Caenorhabditis elegans: one gene and its partner. Each later gene encodes a partner of the first gene's protein in a complex. Each region holds a gene or a part of one and is shown in the gene's direction. Other genes may lie near its edges.

Region 1 (16,445 bases):
AAGCTATTTTTATACGCGGAATTTAAATTTCACGATAATTTTTCAACAAAAATTTTAATTTGGAACCAAAACTTGTTGGAAAATATCCGAATTTTTAAATTCGCGCCAAATTGTTCAAAAAATAAATTCTATTTTTTAATTTTGCACATCTATTTAATCTAATCTAATGGTAATCTAGATATCTATGTAAAAATATAAATTTAAATTTCGCGCCTAAGATTTTGGGAAAAAAAATTGAAAATTGAATTTTTGGAAAAATAGTCAAAGTAGGAATTTGGAAGGAAATAGTGCCAAAAATTATTTGATCAATTTTTAAAGGTAATAAATTAATTTTTGAACAGGTCTTGAAGCGAAAATAAAGCCCATTTAGACTCCACCCATAATATCTCACTTCAGAAATTTATTTTTCAAAAAGTTCTGAAAAAAATCAGTGGGAGGCTTGACGTGTTTGTTCCCAAAAAAAAATGTTTCTTGTCCACATTCATTTTTGATGAGTTCCAATGGACAAAAACAAAGAAATTCTGGAATTAAATTTCATCGCTTCAATAGTTTTCTAAAATATTCTAATTCAGAATTTAAAAAAATGTAACACAAACATTTGGTTCAAAAATTGAAAAGAGCCAATCTTCTGGACTCTAAAATGATCACACATCTTCCGGTGGAATCTTCTTTTAATCGTGCAAATTTAAATGTTGAAAGAGAGACAGAAAAGGGAGAGTTAATGTAATTTTATGCGACACACTCGGAACATTCTGGAAAACGTTTTCCAATTTTGAAGAGTGATGGTAAAACATAAATTTTAAGGTTTCAGCTAGATGATAGCAAAACAATTTGAACTGCGAAGTTATGTAAAAAATTGTATTCTACATTTTTGTAGTTGCCAAATTTTTGATATCATTAAAGATGGACGAGATATACCGTATATTTTCTATTAGTGCTGCATCTCCAGTAGTACTGCAGTCTCTAATAGTGCTGCATTCAAAAAGGGTCCAAAAAATAGTGCTGCAGTCTCTATTAGTGCTGCACCCCATTTTCTATTGAAAGAGTCACTTGACTGTTTCGATATTTTTGGGTATTTTTTTTGTATATTTTTGATGATTTTTTGATAATTTACGAAATTAATTGAATTATTGGGTCTTTTTGTTACAAAAGTTCGCAATTTTTATGAATTTCTGCTTAAAAAAAAGAGCTTTTGTGACTAAAAACTAGTGATCTATAATTGAAAATAGCCGTTCGAAAATTAATGCTGCAGTCTCCAGTAGTACTGCAGTCTCTAATAGTGCTTCATTTAAAAAGGGCCTGGAAATTAGTGCTACATGCAGCACTAATAGAGAATATACGGTATAAGGAAAAATCGGGGGAAATTTTTTTTAAATTTTTTGGAGGAGGGGCGGTGTCAAATGTGTATTTTTGTCAAAACTGAAATTCTTTTTTAGAACTATACTACTGCAAAAATGATATTTAATTATGTTTTTAGTTTATTTGAAATATAATTTTTTAAATTTTTTTTAAATTCAGCTCTTAAAAAAATCTCAAAGTTTCGCGTATGGCTAACATCTTAATGAATTTTTTATTAGTTTTTAAAAAGTATGTTACCTTTTAAAATAACAATCTTGAAACACAAAGTCCATGCAAAAAACATAAAAAATCTGCGAGTGAAATTGAGAAGAAAATTAGATTTCAAAAGCATAAACGGATATAAATTCAGAGACCACTTGTTTAATTTTATTTTTGCAATTGGAGTTCTCACAATCTGGTTTATTACTGGAAATTAGATCGGGTCAGGTGCAAATTTGGAGTACTGTAGTCCTTGTGAAAAGAAGGAAAATGGGATTATTTAGTTCAAGGAAAGGATTTTTAAATTCTGTTTTAATTCTGTTTTCAAGCCAAGAAAACACAGCGTTCGTATTACCCAGACGAAAAATACGACACCCGGTCTCGACAAGACAAAATTGTTAAATGAAAAAAGGTTTGCGCCTTTAAAGAGTACTGTAGTTCCAGTTTGAATAGATTTTTATTTAAGAAAGTATATTTGTTTATTGAAAACCAAGCAGAATAAAACAATCAAAAATACATTTTAAAAAAATTTTAAAAATCGATAAGAATTCGGCAGCAACAAAAGAAATTTGGAGAGTACAGTATTCTTTACAGGCGCACATCCCTTTCTAGATATGTATAACACAATTTTGTCGTGTCGAGACCGACCATATTTTTCGTGCAAAAATCGCAAAATTTCGGGTCTGCATAATAATTAAAAGCGTAAGAAACATTACATATCCTTGAAAAAAATAACTAGTTTTACATGAAAAATTCATTTTTCACTATTTTGAGATTAATTGAAGTTCGCAACAACAAAAAATCCACCCACCTTGCCATATTTCTCAAGTGAAACACCAAATGATGCACCAAGAGCTGTTCGAGAGAAAAAAAAAACAGGAAAAAGGCGCGAGAGCCGGATGTCAACAATGAGATTATTGCGCCAAGAAGGTGCTATCGAATCAGAAAAAGCTGAAAAAAACTGCTGAAAAACACTCAAGAATGATATAGAGAAACAAGTCTTGAGGGGAAAGAAGAGGAACCTTGATAGTTCAGTCTGAAAAAAAAACAAGTGCTCGGGGGAGGATTCGAGGAAAAGCGGGAGTCTAGAGAGCAATGGACTCAGTTTTGAGATTTAATTGAGAGGCTTCCACTTTAATTCCTGAAAACGAGGCAAAAAAATTGATTTTTATTCGATTTCATGCACGCTTTTTCAGACATTTGTCGTGAAATGCGTTTTTTTTTTGCTAAAACTGATGTAAGAATATTTCGATCGTGTCGAGACCAATAGTCGCAACACTTGCCGAAAAAGGCCGCCTACTTCTCATGTGTTTTGTTAGTTTAATCCGATTTTCAATATTATTTTTTGTGCTTTGATTTCAGATATTTCTAATATTACATTAGCGACTCAAACAACTAATCTAAGCGCAAAAGCGCTCCAAGGCAAAATGAAAACGCTCCTCCCACAACAGCTGGGTCTCGTTAGGTATTGGCGGCAAAACCGTAAATTCAGACTTTTTCAATTATTTTCACCGATTTCAAAGCCAAAGTGAATTATTGAAAATTAATGTAGAAAAAGTTCTCTTTTCAATAATTTTTGTATGAAAAACGGGAATAAATGTTCAAAAATGCTAGAAAACCGGTGAAAACCATTGAAAAAATTCAAACTAACGACTTTACCGCCAATACCCAACGAGACCCAAATTACGGTAGCCGGAGCATTTTCATTTGTCCGTGGAGCGCGTCTGCACTTTGTTTCAGTTTTCTGCGTCTCTACAATATGTATAATATCTATAGTTTTTTATGTCACAGAAAGAGGATTTTGGAACATAGCCGTGAAAATAATGGTGGCCGAGTTTTTTTTCTTCTCGCGGCCATTCCTAGGCTTTAGGCCACACGGCCTCCACCACGAGAAATGCGCAGAGAGAGCGCAGAGAAAAAGGCGGTCTCTGCGTCTCTCACCTCCACAGCATGGCGAGAGTGCGCGCTCAACCACCTCACTTAGAAGGAGTCGGGAAGAAAGGAAAATGCATATTTCTGAAAAGAAACAATTGGAACGGATGCAGAGTACTGTCCTCTACAGTCTGGCATAAATTTCACAGAATAGTTTTGTCATTGAAATAAGTGAAGAGAGTGAACATAATATTACACATTCCCCTCTAAAACGAGCAAGTTTAAGATTTTTTCCCAAATTTTTTTTGTAAAATGTATTCAATATATTCCCAATTAATGAGTTAATACAAAAAAACCCCAATAAATAAGTTATGAGAGAAACTTTTTTTGACATCAAACATTTACAGCTCAAAATTTCAGCACTTTCCGGAAGCTAGTGACCGTAAAATGAAAGATTTCAAAAATCGGAAAAAATACGATTGTTCTAATTTTTAATACGCACATTTTGACATATCACACATGAAAATTGGTCAATGTTGAAAATATGTTTTTTGATCTAGAAGATTGACTACAGTACTAAAATGACCAAATTTTCAGGTTTTTCGCAATTTTCAGGAAATTCTTGGCTTGGACTGAAAAATCGGAAAAAATACGATTGTAATAATTTTTAATACGCACAAATTGACATATCACACATAAAAATTGGTCAATGTTGAAAATATGTTTTTTGATCTAGAAGGTTGGGTGGCGACTACAGTACCCGCTCTACTGCGCCCTCACACTTTGGATGCTCCTATCTCCGCTTCTATGAAAGTTACAAAAAAGTTGTCAACTAACAAAATGTTCAGTTTGACATTGTGAACATTTTTTCTGTTGACAATATTTTTCTAACTAGTAAGACAGATAATATAGACCCCAAAAGTCGTACTTATGAGAAAATCAGAGATCAGTTCATAACTCAAAAAATAAAGACTTTAGAAGAAAGTAGTCAACTGCAAATGTGTTAGATATCTTATATAGAGTATTTTCCCAATAAAAAAACCAATTTTAATGTTTAGGATTTTTTGATATGGCCGGTTTAAGATGATCACTTTTCAAAAGTCAAAATCTCCATTATTTTTGTAGATAGAAATGTAGTTTTTGCTGGTAAATGTTGTTTTTTATCTGCTTAACATTTTCTCAGTTGAAAATATTTTTGTATCTTCAGCGAGGACAGAGATTTGATGGTTTTAAGAGAGGGTACTGTAACTGGGACTTCATTCATCAAATCATAGCTGTATCTTTTTAGTGGAACGAGATATCAAAAAATTGTCAACTAAGAAATGTTCACCTATTTGTGATGTTCATTTTGTCAGTTCACCGCTAGTTTCTATCTCCAACGCGAAAAAAGTTGTAGCTGTTCAAAGTCCATAAAGTACATACACTTCACCACGAGAAGAGCGAGAATCAACCCGAAGCCACAGTCGTACATATTTTCTTTATTTAAACCGTTCAAATACACTCATCGTATCATATTTAACAATTTTCAATCTAAAAAAGTGCTCTTCTGTCCATAATTCTTCTAATTCCATCTAATTCTTGCTAAAAACCACTGAAAAACAGCTCGTATTAACTATTTATTGTAAGTTCCGCCTTCCCATTTTATCAACTTCACTATTTCTGTGAAAAAAATTCAAAATTTCGTTCAAAAATAGCGATTCTAGCTCAATTTCATGAATATCTGTTGAAAGCGGCGGCGAGGCAAGGTGGTCGTCCGCAAACGCGCAAACAAAAAGCGAGAGAGTGTGCGCATTTCTCGTGGTGGAGGCCGTGAGGCCAAGAATAACGCTAGAAATTTCCAGAAAACGTACCTGAAAACAGAAAAAAACCTTTTTTTTAGTTTTCTAAACTCAAAAAATATTTTTTGTAAGAAAGTTGAAAAAAAAAGTTCAACCAATTTTCGAAAAAAATAAAGAAACTCCAAACAAAACCAGTGGGAGTACCGGAATCAAATCAAGCATAACGATTTTTTAGTCTTTGTTCTCTCTTTTCGAAGCTTCTCGAGTAGGAGGAGTTGTCTCTGAGCCCCCGACAAAAGAATATGCCAGGTTCTCACAAATTATTCAACGAGTGAGGTGAGAGAGAGAGAGATCAAAGGTATCCGTGTCAGGTACAAATCTGAGAAGAGAAACCGGAAGACTGCCACAAGAAATGCGTGTTTTCCGTTGTTTCTTCTTCTATTTATAAAAATAATAAACTAAAAAATTTGTATTGCACCGAGCTGGAAATAAAAACAACGAATTAATTAAATTAATTTTAAAAAAAAGATTTAAACGAGATCTTCTTCTGGATGTTTGTGGCTGTCGTGAACCCATTTCTGAAACAAAAATTCAATTTAAAAATTATAATTATTCAGATTTAAAATACCGTCGGCGCATTTCTTCTCCAGTGCTCCGGAGTCGCAGATCTTTCGCGTCGGAAGCGTACTCCTCCACGCCCACGTACAGTAATTCCGTTTTCATCTCTGCGAGGTTGGCTTCGCGAAGAATCTCCTCGATTTTCTTTCTGAAAAAATCTAGTTTAAGAAATTAAGAAATTTAACTTTAAAATAGTTTCAAAAAATCGGGAATTAATTTTGGTGGAAAATGGAGAAATGACAGGAAGATGCTAAAAATTAGATTTCTCCAATCAAGTAAACTTTTTTTTTTGCAAATTTTTTCCATTAAAAATCGAAAAATCAGCGAAATTCAATTCTTGATCGATTGATTCGAAAATATTTGGTTCTTTTCGTGGCGAGACCTGGAACCGAATTTTTCATTACAAAATAAACCTTATAGTCGCGATTCTTCTCATGAGATCTAGATCTTGATCTTCTCGATCGATACTCTCTTCTCTTATCATTTCTCATTTCATGCTTCTTCTCATTGTCATCATCACGATAGAGCCAAGATTTCGGGCATTTCGGGATCTCATTGTCCCTTGCGTTATTATTTTTCTCTTCGAGAGCAGCGGCGAGCTCTTCATCTGTCTTCAATGGTTTCTTCTTTTTCACGAGTTCTCCACAATTGGAGATCAAAACTTTTGCGAGTGGTTTCGATTTATCATCAACCGCAAGATTGTCGATGTAATCTACAACGTTTTGTCCTTTGACAACCTGGAATTCAATTTATTTTAACATTAAAGTATAAAAGTATCGTAATTTCAACAGATTTTGACTTAAAGGCGCACGGCTTTAAAGAGATGGGTCTCGGCGTGCTAAAAATTTATAGTAGTTGGTTTTTTTGTTCATTTTTCTGTTATTTTGAAATCGTTTTAAATCGGTTTTCCCTGTAAAAATGATTTTATGAACAAAACATTACTTTTTATTTTAAAACTGAAAAACAATTTTTAACAAAGTGAAAACAGACGCAAAACTTCAAAAATGACTACCATAAACTGTCTTTCGCGCCGAGACCCATCTGAATAAATCTCTGCGCCTTTATGTTAGAATCTCGTGAAATCATGATTTTATAATTATAAAATTAATATATTCTTTAAAATCCATTATGCACCTCTCCAAAAACAACATGTTTTCCATTGCAATGTGGAGCTGCAGCCGTTGTGATGAAAAATTGAGAAGAATTTGAATTTGGTCCTTTATTGGCCATTGACAACAAATAGGGCCTTGAGTGCTTTAATTTGAACTTTTCATCGTCAAAGTATCGTCCGTAGATCGAGAATCCTCCTCTACCATCTCCTTCTGTGATGTCTCCTCCCTAAATCGTCAATTTTTCAAAAATTTCAGCTAAAAACCGCCGGACCTGGATCATAAACTTCTTTACAATTCTATGAAATTCGTTTTGTTTGTAATGAAGCCGTGCTTTATTATTTGGAGTCATTCCGACTTCTCCTGTGCACAATGCTCGAAAGTTTTCACATGTTTTAGGTGCTGAAAAATAATTGATTTTTTTTAAATTAATTTTCTGGGCAGATTTCTAACCATCTTCGACAAAAAGTCGTATTTCAATTCTTCCAATCAGATTCTCATCGACTGAAATATCTAGGAACACTCTTTTTTCAGCGGCCATTCGCAGCCTGAAAATGGTTTTGGTTTCGATTCGAAATTTTAAATTCCGAAATAAAGAAATATAATTTCACAGAAGCCTCAACGAAACAAAAAACATTCTCCGGGATTCAATTTTTAGGGTTTTATATATATAATATATACGGATGGAAACAAAAAAAAACGAGTAATCACAATTCAACGCCGTGACTTCAAACAATAAATAACATATATATTATTAATTTAAAGCTCTTCGTGATCCTGAGATGCGGTTTCAGATTCGGAAGCAGATCCAGCATACTTGTTGACAAATTCTTCGAACTTCTCGAGGTTTCTGTCTCCATCATAGTCGACTGGGGTAGAAGATCCGGCTGGCCACAGCTTCAGGGTTGGGAAAGAGTTGACCTTGACGTCGGCAAGCTGAAAATGGAAATAATAATTATGAATATTGATACTTTCAAAATTCTTACCTCGTTGAGAGTAGCATCAAGCTTTGCAATGACAACATTTGGGTTGGACTCGTACTTCTCAGCAAGCTCATCCCAAACTGGAACCAGTTGCTTGCAATGTCCGCACCATGGGGCGTAGAATTTGACGAAGACAGTCTTGGTTTCATCAAGGGCAATTTCGTTGAAGTTGGAGGCGACGAGAACCTTAACTGGGAGTGCATTCCAATCTTCTGGAAGATCTTGAGCCTTCAAGTCTTGAGCAGACTTTCCTTCCAAATATGAGTTGGTGAAAGCTTCGAAATCTTCTCCTTCTTGTGGCTTGAACTTCTCAACTTGATCGGCAAGGCTGACAATTCTGTTGGCTGGGGTGTTCTTGGCATCGACTCCGAGGAACTCGAGAATTCTTGCGTTCTCTTCAACATCAACGTCGAGAAGAACAAAGACGATCTTAGCACGGAACTTCTTAGCGACCTCAGTGAACTTGGCAATAGTCTCATCGAAAGAAGAGTCTGACTTGCGGATGATCAAAAAGTGGAACTTTTTGAGGTCTCCTCCGACGATTTCTTGAGCAGATTCGTGGGTGAACTCGGTCACGGCAGAGAGCTTGTAAGCGTGGAGCCATTGCTTAAGAGCGATGGTGTTGGTGATTTCAGCTTCAGCAATTGTGCTAGTCTCGCTGTCGTCTCCATCAGTGCGGATAAGAGCGACTCCATCTTCATTCAAAGATGCGGCAGCAGCAACCTCAGCAGAACCGGCAACGGCGAAGAATGCGTCATCGACAGAATCAGCAACTTCGTTGTAGATGGTAGCAGCATCAGATTTCGCGTCCTGAAAAATAAATAAATTAAATAGGTTGTACTTTTTATGTAAAAAAATACCTTGAAGTATCCAAGAACAACAACTCTGGTCTTTCCCTTCAATTCCTCGAGTTGCTCAACTGACTCAACAGTGGTAACAGTTGGTCCACTCTTCTTCTTGACCCAATCGACAATTTGAGCGGTGGCGCGTCCTCCGGTGTATTTCGTTGGCTTTCCACTCTTGAAGTAGAGGATAGTTGGATATCCACGGACCTCGAACTTGGATGCAAGAGCTTGGTTTTCGGTGGCGTCAACCTTGGCGAGCTTGATATCGGATCCTTCCTCCTTCAGCAAATCGGCGGCTTCGTCGTACTTTGGAGCAAGAGACTTGCAATGTACACACCATGGAGCATAGAATTTGACTAGAACAAACTCATTTCCATTGATAGTTTCTTCGAAATTGCTCTGAAAACAGTTTTTTAGAAGATAATGATCAGAATAAATGTTATACTTCAGTGAGAACAAGCACGTTTTCGCTGTCAGCAACAACTGCTCCGATTGATGCGACCAGGAGGAAGATAAAGGACACTGACAGTGACATAATTACCTGAAAATTTAAAAAAATAGTAATAGAAAATTTGAGGAAGTTATCATTGAAGAGAAAAGAGGTATAGACAACGATAAGTGTGCAAACAATACGTTAGCCATTACTTTGCGATCAAAAAAGTAGGGTATGAGTATTGACAAACGCAGTCAATTTTTCTTTTAAAAAATCCTCGTCGTTCACAACCTGCTAGGAAGAGTGCGAGCGACGAGAAGAGAAGGAGAATAAGCGCACGTTGTAAAACAGAGTAACGAGAGAAAGAGAAGAGACCGTGAACGCCCCGGCAGAGACAACGAGGACCGCGAAACTGCAAGACGAATGGACAGTGCAGTATTGACACGTCAGCATACGCGTGTACGGGAGATGTCCACGTGGACGTCACCGTGGCGACCTTTATGACTTATTGAGATGAGAGTTCGCGCATTTAATGGAAAATTAATTGTGTTCTAAACCTTAAAACAGTGAGAAAATGAACAAAACACATCGAACTGAAAGTTTGTGCAACTACAATGCTAAAGGAACGTCGACGGCCCGGAAATGAGAGTCTATTCGAATATAATTATGCTTATCTTCAACTTAAAATTATTCTGAACCCAAAAAATTTATTCGGAATGGGCAAGTTTATCAAAAAAGTTGTTTTTGGAACTAAAATTAGCTCAAAAAATGACTTTAAAAACTGGGTCAAATAATCACTCTTTTAAAGACGCACCGGATTTAAAGATATGGTCTCGAAGCGCTGTATACAGTGTAGTCCGAGTGGACAATCAAATACTTGTTTCAATGATTTCTAATTTCATTTTTTTTTGGAAATTCTTTTTTCTTTCGTGATTTTGTCACATACATATTACATTATATTCAGGTTTCCGCTATGAAAATCCCACTAATCCTGTTGCTGGTTGTTTCAATTCAATGTTTCTATGTGAGAAACCAGACTGAAGACTCGATGGCAGAAGGATTACGTTCGAAGGTGGGCTCAAAATGAGGATATATCAAAACACATAAATATTAAAGGATAATAGTATCGAATTGTTCGGTCAACGCGTGGAGGTGCCGTCGTGGTTGAATACGGCAGCTGAGAAAACAAGAGGAATGTTTGACTCTGTGACAGGTCTTTTCGGAAAGAGTACAGTAAGTATATAACATCGACGGTGGGAGGGGTCATATTGACACAACCGTTTTTAGGCCACGTCGCGCAGATCGTCGGACGGCTTGATGACAAATCTGAAGAAGGATGAGGCGACAAGGATTTGGTTTGCAGTCTATCTCAACATCATTCTCGTTGCTCTGATTTACGTTTTCATCACGATTAAGCTGGTAAAAAATGATTACACTAAAGATTAAAGCTAGATAATTGAATTTTTAGGCACTCATGTCACTGAGCGAAGGAAAAACTGAGCGCAAGAAACGGAACACCTTCAGTTCACACGTTGCCTACGATTCCCCCGACTATAATGTCCCATTGACCAGTATTGCAACAAGAGAGATTCCAAGAGGTCCCGTTCAAGATGAAGATTTCGAGATGGCTTTGGAAGTCCGAGAGGATGAGCAAATCGCCATTCCGAACCCTGATCTCCGCAGTGATTTATCCACGGAATTTGATGATAATCACTAGTTCTAATTCATGTTCAAAATTTTTGTAAATAGCATCACTAATCTATTCCAATTTGACAGGTTCCTATTGCACGAGTATTTCTTCATAAACACGGTTATTCGTTTTTTTTTCCTTTTTAGAAACACAAATCTGAAGAACATGAATTGCTTGACCTTGGTATTGGCGGCGATAACCTAGAAAGTGGGACAAGTTATTTCTTGCTGTCCACGTATCTTTGGATAAGGAAGATCATCAATGTTTCGTAACCTGTAAAACTAAGAGAAGAGAAAGACAAATATATATCAACTAATCTAAAAAGTTGCAGTCAGCAAGATGAGGAAAAAAATAAAATATATAAAGAAGTTGAATATCTAGAGGTTCTCAATATTTTTGTCAGAAAGTTTTTTTCTCATTCTCAAAATAGCATTGAATATTTTCTTATTAATATTTTTGCTTTAAAATAATAATATTAACAGCGTGATAGTTTTTTGGAACACGAATATCACATGCATGCGCATTTCGCAAGACTTCCATTCTCTGCGTCTCTCTCCTTCTGACTCATTTCTTCTCTTTAAAATCGAAAAATATTGTTCTCATCGACCCCAAATGTTTAAAGCGTTCTCATCGATAATGCAAAGTCTACAGTTCAAAACCGATGTTCCAGTGATAATGTGAGTTTTTTCTTAATTAAAATATCAATTTTTCACCTAGAATTATTTCAGAGATGCAGAAACTGTGCCGAACGAATGTTTCTCGCCAATTTTCCGAAGGCTGGACAAAAAATCACTTCTAAACTGCCAATTGGCTTGCCATCGATTCAATGATTTGATATCAAGTGACTCGTTTTGGATTGAATATGCTCGAATTTTAAATATATCAAATGTTCTTCCATCTTTGGAGTGGAGAAGAGCAGCGACACAGAAGAAGTTTGTTGGAAATGAAGACAATGAAATTGACACTTCAAGTTTTAATTTTAATATTAAAAAAATAGTAGGTTATCGCATTTTATAGTAATAAAATTACAAAGTTTTACTTCAGGTTCTGTCTGGAAGAGGCTACTCACCAATCACTCCGCTTTTCATTTCTCATTTTGAAAATGCACGTGACAACACAATAAGTGGAACTCTCCGTTCAGATGATTTTTCAATCAGAGCGAATGGCAGTGGGTATGTCAATACTTTGTTCTTAAAATAATCAATATTTACAATTTCAGAATCCACATGGAAAGAGATGGAGGAAACGGTTGTGAACCACATCCGGATGTTTCCAAGTGCTTCGTATTTTCATTCACAGAGAGCTCAATCAGTGTTTTCATCGATTTGGTGAACTCTGGAATTGACCCATGGATCTTGGATCACGTTCGCCCGAGAATTAGAATTACACAGAAAGTCAATCATCGTAATGATTGTGCAGCCAGGCTCTCATTTGCTGCTCAGTTGAACTATCACGAGACTCAGTGGATTGAAAGATTTGGCCATGTACAAACTATGAGCAACACTGATCATAAAAGATATAAATCTGTAAATAAGGAATGGGCTCAATGGACTGGTCAACCTTGGGAAGATTGGACAATTGAGTTTGACGATTACCCGTCTGGAATTCGACATTTAACTATTCTGAATGAAGGTGAAGATAGACAATTTTGGAGAGGATTCTACGGACCAAAAGTTGCCAATATTCAAGTCGAAGTTATTCTGCCTGATGAGCCAATAGTTAAACCACTCGCTGTTGATTCCGAAAAATGCAATGAAGACGAGAATCCTAACGCTGAAGACGAGGATGATGACGATGATGAAGTACCGCCAAGAGTCGGAGTTTTTAGAATGCCACTCTTTCGTCGTGGTCGTCACATGTATGGAATTCCTCCCGCTGTGGCTCGTCATGAAGATGAAGACGAGGAAGATTAAATAATGCACCGACAATTTTTCGCTTAACTGTTTTATAAAGTGTTTGTATGACTGGAAAAGTTTGTTATATCTGTAATCGAATGAATATATAAATATTTTAACACGTATCAGACACGGATACATGTCATGACATGAGTTCATTAACGAAAAAAAAGAAATTCCGAAAAAAAAACTGCAAAAACATTGCGCGTCAAATTGTGTGTTCGCTGTGCATGCACCCTTGCCTCTGCGTACCGCACATTGCATCTTACGACGATTTCTATTTTATATTTTTTGAATGAATTTCTTCATTTTTCAACTTAATTTTTGATTTTTGCTGTGATTTCAGATATGGATACCAGCGAAAATGCTGCTTCAGCTGCCGAGCAACAGCCAACACAACAAATCGATCAATTAACAGTACCAAATGCTCCGGATGGAGGTTCTTCAGCTCCTGCTCCATCTGTAGGTTTCGTTATTGTTAAATAGTATATTTTTGAATAAGACTTCACAATAGTCAATTTCCAGACTTCTCCCAATTCAATTTCGCCATCAAATCCGACTGGCACACCCGCTCCAGGTGCCAGTGCCCAAACTCCCAATCCAAACGCCGCCGGAGCTTCAGCCTCGGGTTCAGCAAATTATAAGCTGATGTGTACATTGGAAGGACACACAAAATCGATTTCTTCAGCTAAATTTTCCCCATGTGGAAAGTATCTCGGAACAAGCAGCGCGGACAAAACCGTCAAAATCTGGAACATGGATCACATGATTTGTGAGCGAACTGTATGTTTCCGCTCATGAAAATTACAATTAATCCTTAAATTTTCAGCTCACCGGCCACAAACTGGGTGTAAACGATATAGCATGGAGTTCCGACAGCCGTTGTGTTGTCTCTGCTTCCGACGACAAAACACTGAAAATCTTCGAAATTGTAACGTCGAGAATGACCAAAACCTTGAAAGGACACAATAACTACGTCTTCTGCTGCAATTTCAACCCACAATCATCGCTCGTTGTCTCCGGATCATTCGATGAATCCGTTCGTATCTGGGATGTCAAGACAGGAATGTGCATAAAAACCCTCCCAGCACACTCAGATCCAGTGTCAGCAGTGTCTTTCAACAGAGACGGCAGCCTCATCGCATCGGGATCCTACGATGGTCTAGTTCGTATCTGGGACACTGCCAATGGGCAATGCATCAAGACTCTGGTCGACGACGAGAATCCTCCGGTGGCATTTGTAAAGTTCTCTCCAAACGGAAAATACATCCTCGCATCGAACCTCGACAGCACTTTGAAATTGTGGGATTTCTCGAAAGGAAAAACCCTGAAACAATACACTGGACACGAGAATAGCAAATATTGCATCTTCGCCAACTTCTCTGTTACCGGTGGAAAATGGATCATCAGTGGTTCCGAAGATTGTAAGATCTACATCTGGAATCTCCAGACTCGGGAAATAGTTCAATGTCTTGAAGGACACACACGTAAGTCGAAAAATAAAATAAAAATGCAAATTTAAATTTTTTCCATTTCAGAACCCGTGCTAGCCTCCGATTGTCATCCAGTTCAGAACATCATTGCCTCAGGAGCTCTCGAGCCAGACAACAAGATTCATATATGGCGCTCGGATGTTTAAATTGTTTAAATTTAATTAAAATTTCGAAAATTTGATTTATATTTACCCCTTGGTCACCGTGTATATATGCTTTTCCTTCTTGATCTCCTATATTCCTTGATTATAGAGGCGCGGTGGCCAGACACTTTTTTTTCTGAAACTTCGTATTTTCTGTCATTCCTTATATATTCTTCCTAATATAAAAATCCATAAATATTAATTTCCGTGGGATGATTGAGATGATCATTCAATTGATTCGTTTTATTTCGATATTCTATTTGATTTTCAGATTTAATTTTATTTTTCTGGATTGAGGCTGAAAATTTTAGAATGGCAACTCGGGCTACACAGATTTCGACGCTAGTTGAGGAAATTGCAAATAATCCCAATCTTAAAGAAGATCTGAAAATTGTAAGAAATCGCAGATTTTCTAAGTAAACGCCCCACCCCTGAACTATGGGTCTCTTTAGGTTAAGAAACCGAAAATCGAATTTTTCAATTATTCTTGCCCGATTTCAAAGCATTTTCAATTGGTTTTAATGATTTGATGTCAAAAAATAAATTTTTTCATAAATCTCGGCATAAAAATCATTAAAAACAACGAAAAATGCTTGAAAATCGGGGAAACTAACTGAAAACTTTTGAACATCCAGTTTTGCCGCCAAAAACCTAACGAGACCCATCGTTAGCCCGTTTCCACGTGGATTTCAAAAGGGTTTTTTTTCTGCGTTTCTATAATATTCAACGAATGATAACGTTTCAGCTCCCCTCAAATTACACATTCGAAGTTCCAAAAACGATATGGAAAATTCGATCGACCGAGAGCAAATACGTTGCACTCCAATTTCCAGAAGGACTCATTATGTATGCCTGCGTAATTGCCGATATTCTGGAAAAGTACACTGGCTGTGATACAGTAATCATGGGTGACGTCACCTATGGAGCCTGCTGCGTCGACGATTACACTGCAAAATCAATGGGATGTGATCTATTAGTTCATTATGGGCACAGTTGTCTCGTACCGATTCAGAATACTGATGGTATTGCGATGCTTTATGTGTTTGTGAATATTCACATTAATCTATCACATTTGATCGATTGTGTGAAGGAGAATTTTCAGGTACATAAGGAATAGAAACAATGGCCGTTGGAAACCCCTAACACGGTCCTTTGTCGATTTACGCAGCCCGTGTACTCCTCGAGGAGAATTTTACGCTTTTTGGACGGCTGAAATGCATGATTTTGGGCCATTTTCGTCAATTTTTTGAAAATTGTTCAGTGTTTTATATTTAAATCAATATTGTCACTGTTGAAAATCTATAGGAATTGAAAATCGGTAGCTATTCAACCGTGAAAACGGAAATTTTCATCTAAAACACTATAAATATGCAACACATTAGCAGTTTTTAGATAAAATACAGTCATGTATTATTTTATTAATAATAATACAAGAAAACTGGCTAAAATAACTGTAATTCTTGAATTTTTGCCGAAAACTAAAATTCTTCTCCTCGTGGAGTACACGAGTTGCGTAAATCGACACACGATCGTTTTAGAGGTTTGGCGGCCACTAGTTCATTGTTAATATATTTTTCTAAATGTCGAAAGAACGAAAAATTGCTTTTTAAAAAATAGAAAAAGTAAAGGGTTCCCGAAATTTTTTCAAAAAATCGGAAAAACTAAAATTTTCGATTAAAATTGAAAACCGACACCCAATTTACAACCAATTCTTTTCCTTCTTCAAATCTCAAATTTTCAGGGAAAACGTCTTGTCGTCGTGAGTACTGTTCAATTCATCCCTTCACTTCAAACCCTTCGAACCACATTCAACAAAGATGACAGCTCAATTCGCATTGATATTCCACAATGTAAACCATTATCACCTGGAGAAGTTCTGGGATGTACGTCTCCACGATTGGATGCATCGAAATACGATGCAATTGTCTATCTTGGAGATGGACGATTTCATCTCGAATCAATTATGATTCATAATCCAGAAATTGAAGCATTCCAGTATGATCCTTATTCAAGAAAGTTGACACGAGAG
Region 2 (15,963 bases), on another chromosome or scaffold:
CGCGTCTGGATAATAGTTAGTTATTGTCAAAAATGTTTCGTTACATCAAGTTTTCAAGAAGTGTTCCTTCGGATTAACAATTAGTTACAAAGGCTGTTCCAATCGGCTCAACAATTTTTTCCAGAAGCCGCCTACACCGCCTGTTGTATTTCGTGAACGTGCATTCAGTTTCAGCAATGTCAGAAATTCGAGTGAAAGTGCTCTCAAATATGTAGACGATAATCGATTCAGTAAGACAACTCAGCCAACTATATATACAGTAATCATACACGAAACCACACGTACAATTGACACTTTGCACAATTTGGCAGATGCTATTCGGAGAGATCCATCGGTTTGTACTAATTTGCAAAATGAAAATTGAACCATTTCTTCAGATTCCGCGCCTGGACCTAGACGTCCACTATCTGACGGATATGTCAGCTCCCACATCATTCGACGAAAACTATCTTCGAACCTATACAAATGCACGTAGAAAATAGAACAACAAATGAATTGAATAAAGTCATTTTACAAATGTGTGCAAAAAATTGTAACAAATCAAAGGGATAAGAAAGAGAGATGTACGAACAATAACTAGCGAAACAATAAAAACCAATAATAATCAACAAAAAAAAACATCAAAAATGATAAAAACAATTTTAGTAAACGGGGGAGCATTTAGCAATTGAACAATGGGTCAAAAAGATTAAACAAAAGAAACAGGTAGAATGTGTGGCAACGGGGAAAGATGTTATGGGCTAGGCATTGTGAATGAAGTCTCTTTATGCTTCATCGTCAGGACGACGATTTCTTCGACGCAGAGCTGGATTGAGGGCGGTTGTACTGACACTGTTGATCTCCTCCTCTTCGGATCTGAAAAAAGGTTTTTGATTTCACTTTTGAACCAGAGATCAAAGTTTTGTTTTTTTTCAAATTCAAGAGTCTCTCTTTTTTCTATTAATTGCATTATGAAAACTTTCAAATCGAATAAATTTGAACTCACTGATATTCATCAGTATCACTACTACTGCTGCTACTGCTTTCTCCGTCATCGCCACCTTCTTCCTCTCTCCGTTCAGCCTCAGCTCCTCTAACAAGAGCCTCCATGAACGAAACTCGTTGCTCTTCAGCTCGGGCATTCAACATTTCAGCTTGCTCTAAACCACCTCCATTTCGACGACGATTACCTCCTCTAATTCCCATTCGAAGATCTCGGAGACCGCGGCCGAGGATGGCTCGACGAGCAGCAGCTGCTGCTTCTATTGGATCTACTGGACGCGCTGGGCGTTCGTTGTTGCCCTCATTTTCCACGACACGAGCTTCTTCTTCGTCGAGATCGTCTAGATTAATGTCTTCTGAGTCTGAAAATTCAAAGTAAAGATAAAAAGCGTCGATGTTTCCTCATTTTTAATTTTTCAAACATTTGCAAACAATATAATTTACCAATGGAATTAGTTGTTCTCCAACTTCCACTATCATCATCATCACCATCAGTTCCCAATTCATCTTCATCAACTTCTTCATCAACTGCATCTACCAAATCATCAATAGCCGCTCCCATATCAAAATCTGGATCCCCTTCTCCATCCTCATCATCATCTCCATCTTCATCACTTCCTTCATCAGAACCTGGAAGCTCTGCATCATTTTCACTACTGTTTAGGCGTTGACGACGGCGTTGAGCTTGACGTCTGATAATCCGATTCTGTGCATTTTCAAAGTCCAAATCGTCTAGTGTATCATTGTCATCCACGCTACTTCCACTGTCACTTTCATCGCCAAGCTGAAATCATTATAATTCGCAAAATTTTTTTCTCCAAATTACTGATATTACATAAAAGGTTAAATATTCTAAATATAGGTAAAAACTGTGTGATTGCCATTTTTTGACTGTACATAAAGAATTAAGATGAGTTTTTGACAAGTTGTTGTTGACATTTACTATGATATTTTATAATTTTATCACTGGTTCCTAGAGACAGGCAACATGCGTGAATTCTCTATATCTATACTTGTTACTGAAACTAAATGATATTGCAAATATCCAAAAAGAATGAAGCAAGACTTTCATGGAAGAAGAGGAAGAAGATGGAAAAACTAATTGAAAGCATAGTGCATATTCTCCGCCCAAAATTTGAAGAGTGATCAAAGCAAAATGATCACTCTCGAAGCAAAATGCAACGTTGCTCTATCTGGAACAAAAGCAAATTCCTCGGAGAAAATGTTTTCTTCAAGAACGAAAACGCTTCAAATGTGATCGATCTAGAAGAAATGAGACCAAAAGCAAATTCTAATCTGAAATCAATGAAACTCCAGAGAACACTGCTTTTGAAATCAAAGAATTACTGGTCTGAAAGCAAAAAAGATTCAGTTTCTTGAATTATCTGGTCAGACAAACACAATGTGTCTGACTGTTCGATCATTTAGTTTTTATTTTCTGCCGGATTAGTTCTAATTTATGTTCCGCTTCTGACTTCTTCTGACCAGGTTCTGCTTTTGATAAGAAAGTGACACACTACTCTCTGCTTCCTGTTAATCTGAAATGCTTTTCGTGAGATCTTTGCTTTTGTCTCGCTCAAAAGTGACTGATCACATTTGAAGCAGTTACATAATCAAAACAGAACTCTGTCAAAAGCATTATTTCTGTTGAAGAAAAGAAGAAAAAGCAGAAAGCAAAAGTGATCTTACATCAGTCAGAACACATCAAACACAGATGTGTTTGCTTTAAATGTGATCAGTCGCAAATAAAGCAATCATGAAGCAAAGATAATTTCTGCAGGTAAAGAATGTTCTGAAATCAGAAACTGGTGTGTCGCATTTCTTTCAAGATCAGAACGTGATCAGAAGACAATCAGAACGAACAGAACACATCAGTTGGAAGTTTTACTTGATGTGTCGCTTCTAAATGTGATAAACGTATTTGCAGAACAGAAATTCCACTGAAAAAAAGTGATGTTACATTTTTAGTGTGGTCATTCGGCACGGAAGAAAACATCAAGCAAAAGGAAACTGAACAAACAAACCAGGAAGAGAAGTGATGTTACTCTTTTTTCAATAGAACACTAAAACTCGTATACCCAAATAAAGTTAATATGGGATACTGTAGAAGTAGTTTAGAATTATTAGTTTCAAAAAAAAATTCCGTATGGATGTCGGACTACTGTAGGATTACTGTAGTTTTTAGTTAGTGAAATTTTTAATGTGTTTCAGTGCTGGGCGCGTAAATTAGTCCTACTGTAGGATTAATGTAGTGATCAACAAAAACATGGATTTTTTAAAGAAAGTTTTAAAAATTCAAAAAAAAGGTGCAGATGATTTTTTGGGTAGTTTCAGAAAAGATATTATGAAATTTTCTAAATTTTTCTAAATATGTTTACCCAAAACATTTAAATTTTTTTTCCAATTTTGAAGTTTGTTCAGAATGATAATTCCAATGTTCAAAGGAAAATGTGGAATGGTTTTTTTTTGTATTTTCCGACTGACCGTACTCCACCTTTGAGAAAATTTTGAAAAAAAAACTAAACTTACTCTTCCTAAAGTTCGAAACACGGATTCTCGATCTGAACTATTTCCTCCAATCTCTTCATCATCATCTCCATCTCCAGATTCATCCGAATCTTCGTCTTCATCGTGATCCTCTCTCTGTTCATCTTCCTCTTCGTCATTCTCATCTTCATTATCCTTCAATCGTCCAATTTCAACTATTTTCAGTTGTGTAGATGCTTGTATCATGTAATCCGACATTTGTGGACGCACTTTCTCAATCACACACATTTTCTGATCTTGATGTGATGCGCATAGATCAATGACAGGTCGTCGTCCTTCGAAAGTTGTCAGAGCAGAATAGTCACGGGTCTCGAACGTTCGGAATGACGAGAAGATCTTTTCATCATAGTCTGGACAATGAACGTCTGTAACTTCAGTGGCGTACATGATATTCTGAAAATGTTGAAATTATTAATATTTATAAAATACCATTAATTATAATAAAAACATACACCAGTGGAATTAAATGAAACTTGACAACGATTGAGCTCAGGAACATGGTGAAGCATCCGGAATGTACGAATATCATAAACTTCAGAATTTATAACAATCTGTGTTCCATGAGGATGGAATGTTCCGAATAATGTTATTTTGGAGAGACGATCAAATACATGGATCGCCTGAAATTTGATATTTTAAATTTAATTTAAAAGTCTTCTCCCTACCGAATTCTTCTTTCTGACATCCCAGAGAAGTCCATCATTGAAGATTAGCTTGTCATCAGGCGAAAACGAAGCGTAATTTTTCTCGTACTGTAGTCCATCTATTCCAGAGAGATACGTGTCCAAAACATGATTTGTTTCAGTGTCATAGACAGTTGCCTTATCTCTACACGTTCCGACAATTCTTTGCATCGTTGTGTTAGCAAATTTAACACAAGAATCTTCACGATAAGTATGAACTCGTTGTAAAGCTTCTCCGAGTCTCCAAAGAGCGGATAGTGGACGAGAGAATGCTGAAGACGTGAGCATCATTGAACCATCCTGGAATTTGGAAAACTTTTATTTATTTATTTCAGTTTTAGAAATAAATGTTTCAATTGTATAGAGAATATTTTTTGTAGCCATACCTTCGAAGGTTCAATATTCGTCAGAGCACTTCCATGGCAATTGGTGTGTCCTTCATCCAATCCAGTATCCACGTTTATCCAATGAACTTCTCCATTGAATAAACCAACGATAAGATGTTCATCGTCGACCTAAATTATTTTATTAAACAATTTTTTTCAATTTTGATTTTAAATTTTTCCTTTATGAAATTTTAGAATTACTCTTTGAAAAATACATTGGAGAGCGACAATTAATTTCGGTAATTCTAAAAAATTAGTTACCTATTGTGTCATGCTGTTTCAAAATTTGTTATTGAAAATAAGTGTCAAAATAGAGAAAATCAGTTAGTTCATTTGAAAATAAAATTTATTTCAGTTGAAATATCTGAGTAAATGCACAAAAATGGTCTAAAAGTCGCTAAATGCCTAAAAACGAAGCTCGATAATTTGTAATTTGCATCTTTCAGGTAATTTTTAACTAAATTTTCAAATGTTTCAACTAAAATAAATTTTATTTATACATATAAATCGATTTTCTTTTTTTTTAAACTATTTTCTAATAGAAGCTGTTGGAACAACATGTTGTAACATGTCATTTTATAGAATTGGAGAAAATAACCACATCTGATTTATATATTTCTCACCGAAAATGTGGCTTTCGTATACGATTCATCGTGATCATGTATAGTTTTCCAGTTCCTGAATCTTGAGAAAATAGTTCTTTCATTTGTCCACTGTGAATAAACTCTTTCATGAGGTCTAAGAAGTTCTTGATCGAGTGTTCGAAGAGAAATATTTCTCACAACATTCGTTTGATACGACAATTCGGGACATTTGTGTTGGTAAAATAATGAAAATGGAGGACACGTTGTCACTGGATTCTTACATGTTGAATGTTGGTTTCTGAAAAATGAAAATGAATTCGAAGAATAATTAATAATTCTGAAACCTGAAATAATCAGTAACAATACTGTTTAGATCTTTAATTGGTCGATATCCACTTGAACTTTCTCCTGGAGTCAGAGGTCTCAGTTTTTGACGTGCAGGACTGATCATCAACTTCTTTGGAAAAGCACCACTGGTTGTATATCCTTAATATAAAATTTAGTTGAATCTTCAAATGAAATCTCACTTCTAGGTAAAGTTGGTGTGGCGAAAACATCGTCATCTGTTGAATGAGAACGTGTAGCCATTGCGGGAGATGACAGTGAAGCTGCGTTTGAGGGCCGTCTTGCTGAAATTCCACCAATTTCCGATTCAAGCGTCCTTGGAGCCAATGTTGGATAAGTGTCGTTTATTTTTGAAAAATTATTTCCGCTGCTGGGCTGAAAAAAGGTTGGAAAATGATTGTTTTTCTGTCACGATTCAATTCTCACAATAAATATTAACTTACCAATGGCTTATTGAGAATCGGAGTATTGATTGACCGACTTGCTGGACGATCAGGAAGCTTTGCTTCAGATTTCAGCATTGCTGCTACTGAATCTAACTTGCTTTTCAACAAGTGATCATGAATTAATTGAAGAAGTTCTGCTTGATTGAAGCTCACTTGTGTATTTTCGATGACCCATTGACGGTGACTCTTTTCCTGAAAACCCTCATTTATTTATATAAGAACGTTGTTAAAGAATTAGAAAAAACCGAACCGACGATTGAATTTCTTTTCCTTGTTGATCATGAATTTTTCTTCCATAAATGACCTGAAGAAGTTGAACTGCTTCTTTGCAGAATGCTGCATGAATATCTCGCTTGTCAGAACACACTGGTTCTCGCATTAAATCTGAAAAAAAAAGAATTAAACTTGATTTTTTGAAATCTGTGGAGATTTTTCGTTGTTCGCTTTTTTAGTTTTTTTGGCAAAAAATTAGTTGTTCATCTTTTTTATTCAAAAAAATACACTCAACATTATAGCAATATGGTAATTCCGATAAACATTTTCGTTTTTTAATAATAATAAGATCCTTTTTGGCATTTTTGGCTTCGAAAAAAATTCGAATTCAGCCCTACACATCCCCAGGGCTGAAGAATTTTTTTTTGAGCGAAAATGTATTTTTGGTAATGTTCGAAAGAAGGTTAGCAAAAAATTCGAAATATTTTGTTAGCCTGGCGCTGACAGAAAAACTTGTTAATTATTATATTTCCACTCAAAAAAAATACTCGAACTTATAAAACATGGCAATTTCGATCAACAGTTCTCTTTTTTAACGTTTTTTTGTGTTTTTGAAAAACATGTAATTTCTTTGCATGTTTCGTTAAAACTAACTCTGTAGTCCATTATGAGCTATCAACGGTAATTTTGCAAGAATCTGTCGAACTTCCGGATGCCTTGCCAGTCCCGTTAATGTGTTAGTTGCCGTTTTTCGGATAGAATCCGCTTCTGTCAGTGGAATTTTGCAGTTAATCAAGTTGACGAGTGCCATAATTCCATCAGTTTTTCGAACTTCTGTCCACATTCGTTCAAGATGATTCATGATTATTTCATATTTCGATTGTCTTTTCGACGCGGAGCTTGACTTTTCCTCTGAACTTTTGACTCTTTGAATAATAGCTTTCCAGCATTCTGGTTCCACATAAACACAACGTTGAATACATCCCAATGCTGCCATTCTCAGAGATGGATCCTCATCGTATCGTCCAAGAGATGTTTGAAGAAGAATTGTGAAACCATCATAATTCGAGTGATTATAGGAATGTTGAGTGATAAGTTCAGTTTGAATTGATGGAAGGCAAAACATCATGCACAATGTTTCCAATGCGTGTACACACATTTCGGTGCGGAGACTGCAACAAAATTATCTCATTTATTCAGAAAGGGAGTAGAGTTTTTATTTCGGATTTTTTTTTGAAAGTTTCATTAGGGAATTAGGTCACTTCGGGGAAGTAATTAGCCTATTCCGAAACCGTTAATTTCAAAAAGTTACCTTGGAGAAATGTTTTCCCAATCTCTTGATAACACTCTAACCGCCAAAAACATTCGAACCATTCCTAGTTTTCTTAAATTTTCAGCCTCTCTGAATGAACTTCCGGTGAATCGAAGCATTTCCGTAACAATGGCTTCGCACTGCCAACAAACTTCTTCATACGGCTTCATGCTCTGAAATAAATTTTTATAAAATCAATGATATCTTAATAAATACATACTTTATAATCTGGACAATCTCCTTGTACAAGTTCTGGAAATCGCATTCCAGTTGGTAAGTTATTTCCGTATAGCTTTTTATAGTTTTCCACTTTGATGAAAATGTGAGCGGTGAGGTAACTAAAATGATTTAAAATTAGTTAAAAATAATTTTTATCATGTAGAAAACCTTCTGAAAGTGGTACAAACTCCTCTTGTACACTGTGTACTTGTATGTATTTGTTCTTCGGTGAGTTCGACATCTTCATTGTTTTGCATTAGTGTCAGGGTTGCAATCTGAATTACAATATGAGTTATGGTTGTATTATTTATTCACTTTTTTGAAACTTATGAGAAACATACATAATTATGCAGCTTCCGTGGACCATCATATTGATCAAATCTTCTTAAAATAGCCTTGTAGAACAATCCTTGAGAAAAGAACATACATGCACTGGCCATTCCACTTTCATGACTGTGTTCCAAGCACCACAGAACATACCTTAAAAAATAATTTAGTCTTCATAAAGAAAATTTGGTTCGCATTTCAAAAAATGTATTTATAAGTTTAATTTTTAATTTAACAAGTAACTTTACACATCAATCCGAAGACTATGACTTCTCAAAAATTGTTTGGAGTACGAAATATGTTCATATACAAAGAAAAAGGACGAGCCCATGTTTCATGTGGCATGATCACCTGAATGATTTCTGTGATTTAATGCATTTTCTCTTCTTTAGGCTATAGGAGTATTATATTTTCAATTATTAGGTTTATTGTTATTCAAAAAAAACTTGAGGTTGTAAATGTTCAATATACATTTCACTCACTGTACAGTCTCATCCACAATCTCATCGCTCATTTGACATAAAATCTCCATGACATCATTACTGTATGCAATGTAATACAGACATGTAACAACTCCAACTGAAGCCAATGATGTTTTTGGAACTTTCAAAAGAGCCGGTATTCCTCCTTTGTTGACGAATTCCAAGGCGAATTTACGATGTACCAATAGAGAAGTGAGATATTTTAAAGCATCAAAGGTTAAACGGACATCTTTTGATTTTTCGAGATCAATGTAGTCGAACAAGATTTCCAATGCATTTCCTTCAAAAGTTTGAAGGAGGAGCTGAAAATATTTAATATATCTTATCAAGAACTATTGAAATATCACAAAACAATTTAAATTGAAAAATTAATATAAAAATATATAACTAACATCCTGATATTCTCCACATGCAGCCAAATATTGTAGAATAAACCGTTGATATGTAGCTAAACTAAGTGGATATACTTGTTGATCTCCAATTAGAAATGGTTGAAGAATATCCCATTTACTGTTTGAATCATCCAAATTTCGAAGATTATGAAATGATGGAACTCGCTGAGTAATTTCCGTTCGAAGAAGAGATGTCAGGCAAGGCTGAAAATGATTCTGATTGTGAAAAAAGATACAAAAATTTGCAGAGAAAATGACTGAAATCTACCTCAGTTCTTCGCTTTTTCGGTGGTGGTGGATCTGTTGATTGTACAAAGGTTTTCTCATTCTCTTTTGTAGAACCATCAACAGAAGTGATTTTGATTGAAGGAATTGAAGTTCCGTTACTTGTACTTTGTTCAGCATGCAGTTGGGAGAAACTAAAAAAAATAATAATTTGATAAATATAATAATTTGATAAATACAATTTGATAAATACTATTAATAGTTGAAAAAACTCACTCAGTCTGTCCAATTTTCTTCTGTTCTTCCAAAGAGCGACCCTGAAATAATTATAATAACATTTTCAAGACCTATTTAATACTTTAAAAATTCATACCTGTAATTCATGGAGTCGCCGAAGTCCAAATGGGACTAATAGAGCATTTTCATTTCGATATTTACTCGCATTTTCAGTATTTTCCAATGCAGCAGCTAGAAGTCCCATTGCATAACCTTGTAAAGTCTCATTTGTTCCTTCTGATCCTGCCCATGTGTATAGGCGAGGAATGAAATCGTCTGGTTCTGAGAAAACTACTTTTGAATCGAGACCAGGAATACAGGCTAACAGAAGTCGACTTCCTTGAATATTCAATTCTACGTTGTCTCTGGCAAGAATATACGACACAACAAGCTGAAATAAAAATACATTGATATGAATTAACTATCTATTTATTCCCTCACTTTTGTCATGAAATCATCGTTTTTGAATATAATTTTCAAAATGTTGCCGAGTGCAGAATCTGGATGAGTCCTGTGAGGATGACGATCATCCAAAGGATCCGGGTCGTTTTTAATGAAAATGTCTGTAGCTTGTTCCAACAATTCAGAAATTCTGAAATGATTTATTTAATTTATGAATAATTGTTCTCTATTCTTAACCTTTTAAGTATCGGTATCGGATCAAACGACGATTGTTCATGATTTGCATCAAACTCCAATAGTAATTCAGCTATTCGAAGCATTAATTGCGTGCTCAGCTTCAAATCTTGATCGGATATCATCATCATTGTTCCTGTCGATCGGAGCGGATAAATCTCCTTGCTCGTCATGACGGCTGAAAATACTTAATTGATTTTGTGATTTTTTAACGCAAAATAATCAATTTAAAATTATGCAACAAGAAATTGGATTTGCAATTCAATCTCCAAAAGAAAAATAACATTTTTGTTGAAATGTCGAAAATCCGAAATTAGTCGAATATGTGAAGAAGGGTACGGTACGCAACGGTGTTTGCGGACCAGTCCAACGACGACGACAACTTGCGTACAGCTTGTGATTTATTTTTATTTTATTTTATTTGCGAAATACTTTTTTATCATTTTTAAGAATATAATAGGTTGTTAGAAAATTATTTGTTGTAATTAGAAACAATTGTTCAAATTGATTTGCGAAAAAAAATTATCGCCCAACCTCTCTCGCCCCTTGTTTCACTTTATAATTTCCTTTTTTTTTGCAATAAACTAATGAATTTTTTCTGGGTAACACAACAATGTCAGTTTTCCACGACGAAGTCGAAATTGAGGATTTTGAGTTTGACGAGGAGAAAGACGTGTACCACTATCCATGCCCTTGTGGCGATCGATTTGAAATCCCTAGGTAAGTTTTGAATACTGTAAAAAATCAAACCGTTCTGCAAAGTAGTTCTCATGTTTAAAACAATTGTCATTTTCGAAAATCTCTAATTGTTAGAAATCTCGAATTAATTGTAAGTGGCTCAACTCGGGTATTTTAATTCATGCTTGAAATCGGATTTTATTTCAATCTATTTATCTTACTTCCTAGTTGAAAAATCATATTTCCATTGTAATAAAAAGCTATTTATTCCGTATATAGTCCAACTTCACTTTTTTTTCAGAGAAATGCTTGAAATGGGAGAAGATGTAGCACAATGTCCCAGCTGCTCCCTTCTCATTCGTGTTATCTACGATCCTGAAGATTTCGTCAAACTGGAGACCATCTCGACAAGCAAGCCAATCGCGGAACCCGTCTAAATATTTTTAATTTTTGTGAATATTAGTTATTAGAGTTTCTGTGAAATTCTTTTTCTTCCGTGATTTATTGATACGGGTTTCGCGAGTAAATCTTCCGTGATATGTTGTTCCGAATTAGCATTCCAGAAAAGTTGAAATTTACAGAAGTGAAAAAAAACCGCAATTTTTCTTGAAGACAAATAATGTTGAATTTGGAAAGACACAGCTTTAGACCATATCAATTTGCTGAATCACACTAATAGTATTTATAAAAAGAGCTTTTAGGTTTAAAATGATTGTGACTATGTGACGAAACGGCCAAGAGGAGATAAGAGGATCTCTCTAGAAAAAGGAAGCTTGAGGATTTTGTTTGCAAAATGATGCGATTCTAACTAGAACTCAGTTGATTCATTGAAGTTACCTTGTTAAATTGCATGAGAATGTTCGATACTGAAAATGCTAAAGAAAAATATTTTCTGAATGAAGAGATTGAGACGCTGTGTTTAGTTTGTTGAGTAACAAATAGAAGATTTCAATTAAAATAATTTTACTAAAATTACAAAAACAATTCAAGACTTTAAATGAACTTCTGGATTTCATCGTAGATGGCCAGAACGAGTGCTCCACCAGTTCCACGGAACACATTCGACAGAGCTCCCTTGAACATGGCAGACATTCCTTCGTTTTTGATGATCTTGACAGCACAATCCAAGGTATTCTTGTAGAGAACATCTTTGCGACCAGACTGCATCATCATGCGACGGCGAACAGTATCCCATGGATAGGAAATGATTCCAGATCCGACGGTGACGACTTGAGCAATAGCCCAGGCGGCGAAGAAGTTGAGTTTCTTGCCATCAGCAGTGAATACCATCTTGGCAGTGTCGAACATTCCGAAGTAAGCGGCACGGTAGATGATGATACCTTGTACAGAAACAAAGAATCCTCTGAAAATTAATGTTTGCTTATATTATAAAAATGGAAAAAATACCTGTAGAGTCCGATTGGACCATCCGATTTTGCAATCTTGACGAGACAATCAGCCAGACCTTTGAATTCACGTTCATTAGCTTTTCCGACGTCAGCAGCCAAGCGGGTACGAGCGAAATCCAATGGGTAGACGAAGCAGAGAGAAGTTGCTCCGGCAGCTCCACCAGAAGCGAGATTCCCGGCGAAGAACTTCCAAAAATCCTTCTTCTTGTCCAATCCCTTTTGGAAAATGTTTTTGTATGTATCCTTGAATGCGAAGTTCAGCGCCTGGGTTGGGAAGTATCGGATGACATTGGCCAAGTTTCCTCTCCAGAGAGCAGCATATCCTTGCTCTTTCGGGACACGAACGAGGACATCGACGATTCCTTTGTAACGTTTATCGGCGGCGATAGTTAGGGAAGCATCCTGTACTTGCAAAAGAAGCTTGACACGTTCAATCGGAGCCACAGCAGTCTTGGAGACAGCGGCAGCAGTTCCTCCCGAGGCGAGATCAATCAAGAATTTTCGGGTATCGAAACCTTTCTTATCCTCCTTCTTCTTTTCAATAGGCTTTGAATCTCCTCCTGAAAGAATACAAATATTAAATTAAAACCAGAAATATCGATTAAGATTTACTTACCTCCAGTCATGCTTGCAGTAGTGCTGCTGGATATCCAAGCGGTTGAAAACCGGAACTGATTCTAAAGTGAGCCCTTCGATTAAAAATCGACAGTGAAACGTGGCAAAAGCGCTTCTTTAACCGAGGTCACGTGAATAATGCAAAATGCTACTCCAAAACTCATATTTCTGTTTTTCACGTTCTCGTAAATATATTTTCACGTTTTTAAACATATTTTTAAAAGCATAAAAGATTATTTAAAAATATTCTTTTTTTTTAATATCGCGTATAAATTGCTTGATTTCACTGTGAAAGTGTTCTAAAAGAAAAAGAAACAGAAAAATCAAAGAATTCCGCAACGGAGCGGGTTACTGTAGCATTCAAACGCGCACTCTTTCCTTGCTCGAAATTTAGACCCACGGGTTTGAAAAATTTTGTTCATGTGGAATCGAGGTGAAAATCCCAAAATTAGCGGAAAGAAATTATTTTTGTTTTCATTTGAATATGTGAATTATTTTCGGATGCACCTCTTTTAATTGCGAAGTCATCAATAAGTTGAGCATTCTAATGATATTTTCAACATGAAACAGGTGACAAAACACTGTTATCATACAAAAATAGATTAACTTCCTTCTTCTAGCCTTATCCTCTTAAAACATATGTTTATCGTTTCGTCACATAATCGCAATCATTTTAAACCAAAAAGCTTCTTCATACTAGACAACTTCATTAGTATGAATCAGCATCTGGTACGTATTGGGTCCAAATCTGTGTGTCATTCCAGTTTTAAAAAGTATTTTAAAACCTTCTTCACTCATCTTCAATCTGAAAACCCCTCCCAAAAAGCTTATCAGATGGAGATAAGAAGAGGAGGAGGCAACTGAACCTTGTTATCCAAGATTATCAGATGTAGTATAAAAATTTGTAGACTTATCTATTTCACTTCGAACTTTGAGCAAAATAAAGCAAATTTGAGCTTCTAAGTTATTGAGGTGACCTTACATGAGTCTATACTGTTCAAGCTTTGATAATCAGTGTTACTGGATGATGGATGACAGTCAAGTAGTGTGGAACAGGTAGGTCTATGTGTTTTTATCAGAAATTGGAATTAGGATTTTGTTTGAGTTTTGTAATAGTTTTAGTTATTTTCAGTGGTTATTCCACAAGGAAAAGCGTCGATGAAAAGAGAAATGAAAATATAATTAGAAAAATAACACAAATATGTATGTTTAGATGGTTTTAATATCGAATAGTTTTATGATATTTTTTTTGCAAAGTGATATTATATTTCCAACAATATGACATTGATTACAAGCTGATTGCAATAAAATCTGGAAAGAGCATCAGTTTCAAAAATTTACATTTGAAAAAAAGGTTTAATTCAATTTTAAAATGGGTCAAAAAGCCTGCCGGTTTGCAAACTTAGCCATGTAGGCAGGCTCTCACGGCTGAATCCAGTTGCTTTTGTTCACTCTATAACATATCTGTTCAATCTAATTCTCACATTCTATTCTTCATTTTACTCGGTATTTGCTTTAAAAATACACAAAAAAGAATTAAAATAGATTTTCAAAATCTCCACCTTCTAACCCTCAATTCATAATTTAATTCCAGCTCAGCACCTCAAGAGATGATCTGCTCAATTTGCTCGGATAAAGCCGAAGGATATCATTTTGGAGCAATAAGCTGTGCTGCATGTGGTGCATTCTTCCGACGCAGTGTTTCTGATCAAAAAGTATACTCATGTTCTAATAGACAATGTAGTATTGTACACGGTAATCTAAAGTTGAACAAAATATAAATGTAACAAAAAGAATTAAAGATCCAACAAAGAGAGGTGGAAGCTGCAGATTCTGCAGATTTTTGAAGTGTGTGAGCAGTGGAATGATGCCTCAAGGTAATTTATATATTCAAAATAATATCAAATTTTCAAATTTCCAGACGTAAAAGCCAAAAGAACTTCTTCATCACAACAAAATGTCACGTCTCTTTACCGAAATATGAATCAAAGTTCCATTCTACTAATCGATCAAATTATTGCTTTTCGCAGAAGTATTGCAGCTGAAAGGCCGATTTTCGATTTGGTACGTAGAGATTTGAAAGAATTGAGATTTTAAGGGTAAATAAGAGCTTAACTCATATTTACTAAGATTATGGAATAATCTTGAATAAATAACGGTTTATTCAATATTTGAAAAATCTGTTGTAAGTAGAATAAATCTAGGTATTCTCTTCTTCTCTCTACATTAATTTAAATTTTTCAATTAATTTCAGATTTCCCGATCAACAACTCGTACAAACTTGAAAATTTCTCTCCACCAAGAATACGAAATTATGCGAAGAATATCAACTGGATCTCCCTTGATCATGCAAGTTATCGAACATTTTTACGCACACTTTGGGAGCTTGGATAATAATTTCATGGTAATAATTTTCAACTAACTAATATGAAAATTAACTTTACAGAGCGACCCACTCGGTGACATATTCCTATTGGTTTTTGTCTTTGAAGCATGTGTTTTGACTGCTACAAAAGGTGGAATCCAACTAGATAGACTGTTTCTGCCAAATATGGTTTGTTTTATTAAAACAAAGACATAATTAAAAAATATATATCTTAGGTCCATATTGATTTGAGTGAGCAACCATTTTTGGAGTTTATGGAGTGTGAGCAACATGTCAATTTGAACCCATACAGGTATTATAACTTAATTCTGAAATAACTAAAAATGTGATATTTCCAGAAACATTCTGAATTCATTTAGTTTCCTTGTTCAATTGGTATCACGATCGTTTCAATCATGCAATTTCGATGAACCACTTTTATCCATTTTATTCTATAAATGCATAACGGAAGCAGTTCCAATCAATTTTCGACATTGTTTTGCTGATGTGAATCGGGATAGTCTTTTGACAGATTTGAACAGAGGTAACAATTTCTAAAAATATTTCAAACTAATTCAACAATTTATTTTCAGTAGATCCTGTTTCATTTGAACAAATCCAGAACACATCTGCCCAAATTCATCAAGGAACTCGGGCGTTCAAAGATGCAATCTCAAGCATTTTATAACTTGAATAAATCGATTTTTTTGAAGAAATGTTTCTAAAAATTAAACAGCTGATATGAACTTCTCAAAACTAAATTTGTACTTCTCAAAAGTAAATTTGTAAATAAAATTGTTTGATATCTTATATTTTGAAAATTCTGCACGATTGTTAGAATA

What was found.
Region 2: dph-1 (region 1) and dph-3 share a complex: the UniProt entries of both Caenorhabditis elegans proteins name them as parts of the 2-(3-amino-3-carboxypropyl)histidine synthase complex.

Annotation. Positions count from the first base shown.
Region 1 is NC_003281.10:3,692,159-3,708,603, forward strand, and holds the start of dph-1 (2-(3-amino-3-carboxypropyl)histidine synthase subunit 1), read left to right. Parts: upstream 1-14,727; 5' UTR 14,728-14,728; coding exon 14,729-14,809; intron 14,810-15,161; coding exon 15,162-15,518; intron 15,519-16,157; coding exon 16,158-16,445. Other genes in the region: cyn-9 (Peptidyl-prolyl cis-trans isomerase 9), read right to left, coding at 5,738-5,785, 5,836-5,973, 6,239-6,562, 6,960-7,163, 7,209-7,336, 7,388-7,475; pdi-1 (Protein disulfide-isomerase 1), read right to left, coding at 7,694-7,870, 7,921-8,727, 8,778-9,161, 9,208-9,297; C14B1.2 (Conserved plasma membrane protein), read left to right, coding at 10,169-10,267, 10,312-10,428, 10,483-10,614, 10,664-10,912; C14B1.3 (F-box domain-containing protein), read left to right, coding at 11,498-11,562, 11,614-11,881, 11,930-12,057, 12,105-12,798; WD repeat-containing protein wdr-5.1, read left to right, coding at 13,129-13,242, 13,306-13,563, 13,610-14,267, 14,319-14,419. UniProt on the Caenorhabditis elegans protein: Catalyzes the first step of diphthamide biosynthesis, a post-translational modification of histidine which occurs in elongation factor 2.
Region 2 is NC_003282.8:9,696,492-9,712,454, forward strand, and holds dph-3 (Diphthamide biosynthesis protein 3), read left to right. Parts: upstream 1-10,655; 5' UTR 10,656-10,667; coding exon 10,668-10,774; intron 10,775-11,033; coding exon 11,034-11,169; 3' UTR 11,170-11,273; downstream 11,274-15,963. Other genes in the region: twk-9 (Potassium channel domain-containing protein), read left to right, coding at 125-334, 378-482; dcaf-1 (DDB1- and CUL4-associated factor homolog 1), read right to left, coding at 765-855, 986-1,343, 1,426-1,765, 3,511-3,921, 3,981-4,148, 4,194-4,511, 4,598-4,726, 5,221-5,479 and 16 more; ant-1.3 (ADP/ATP translocase), read right to left, coding at 11,726-12,095, 12,140-12,701, 12,758-12,767; nhr-38 (Nuclear receptor domain-containing protein), read left to right, coding at 13,739-13,812, 14,351-14,511, 14,559-14,633, 14,678-14,820, 15,011-15,160, 15,203-15,310, 15,358-15,434, 15,481-15,665 and 1 more. UniProt on the Caenorhabditis elegans protein: Required for the first step of diphthamide biosynthesis, a post-translational modification of histidine which occurs in elongation factor 2.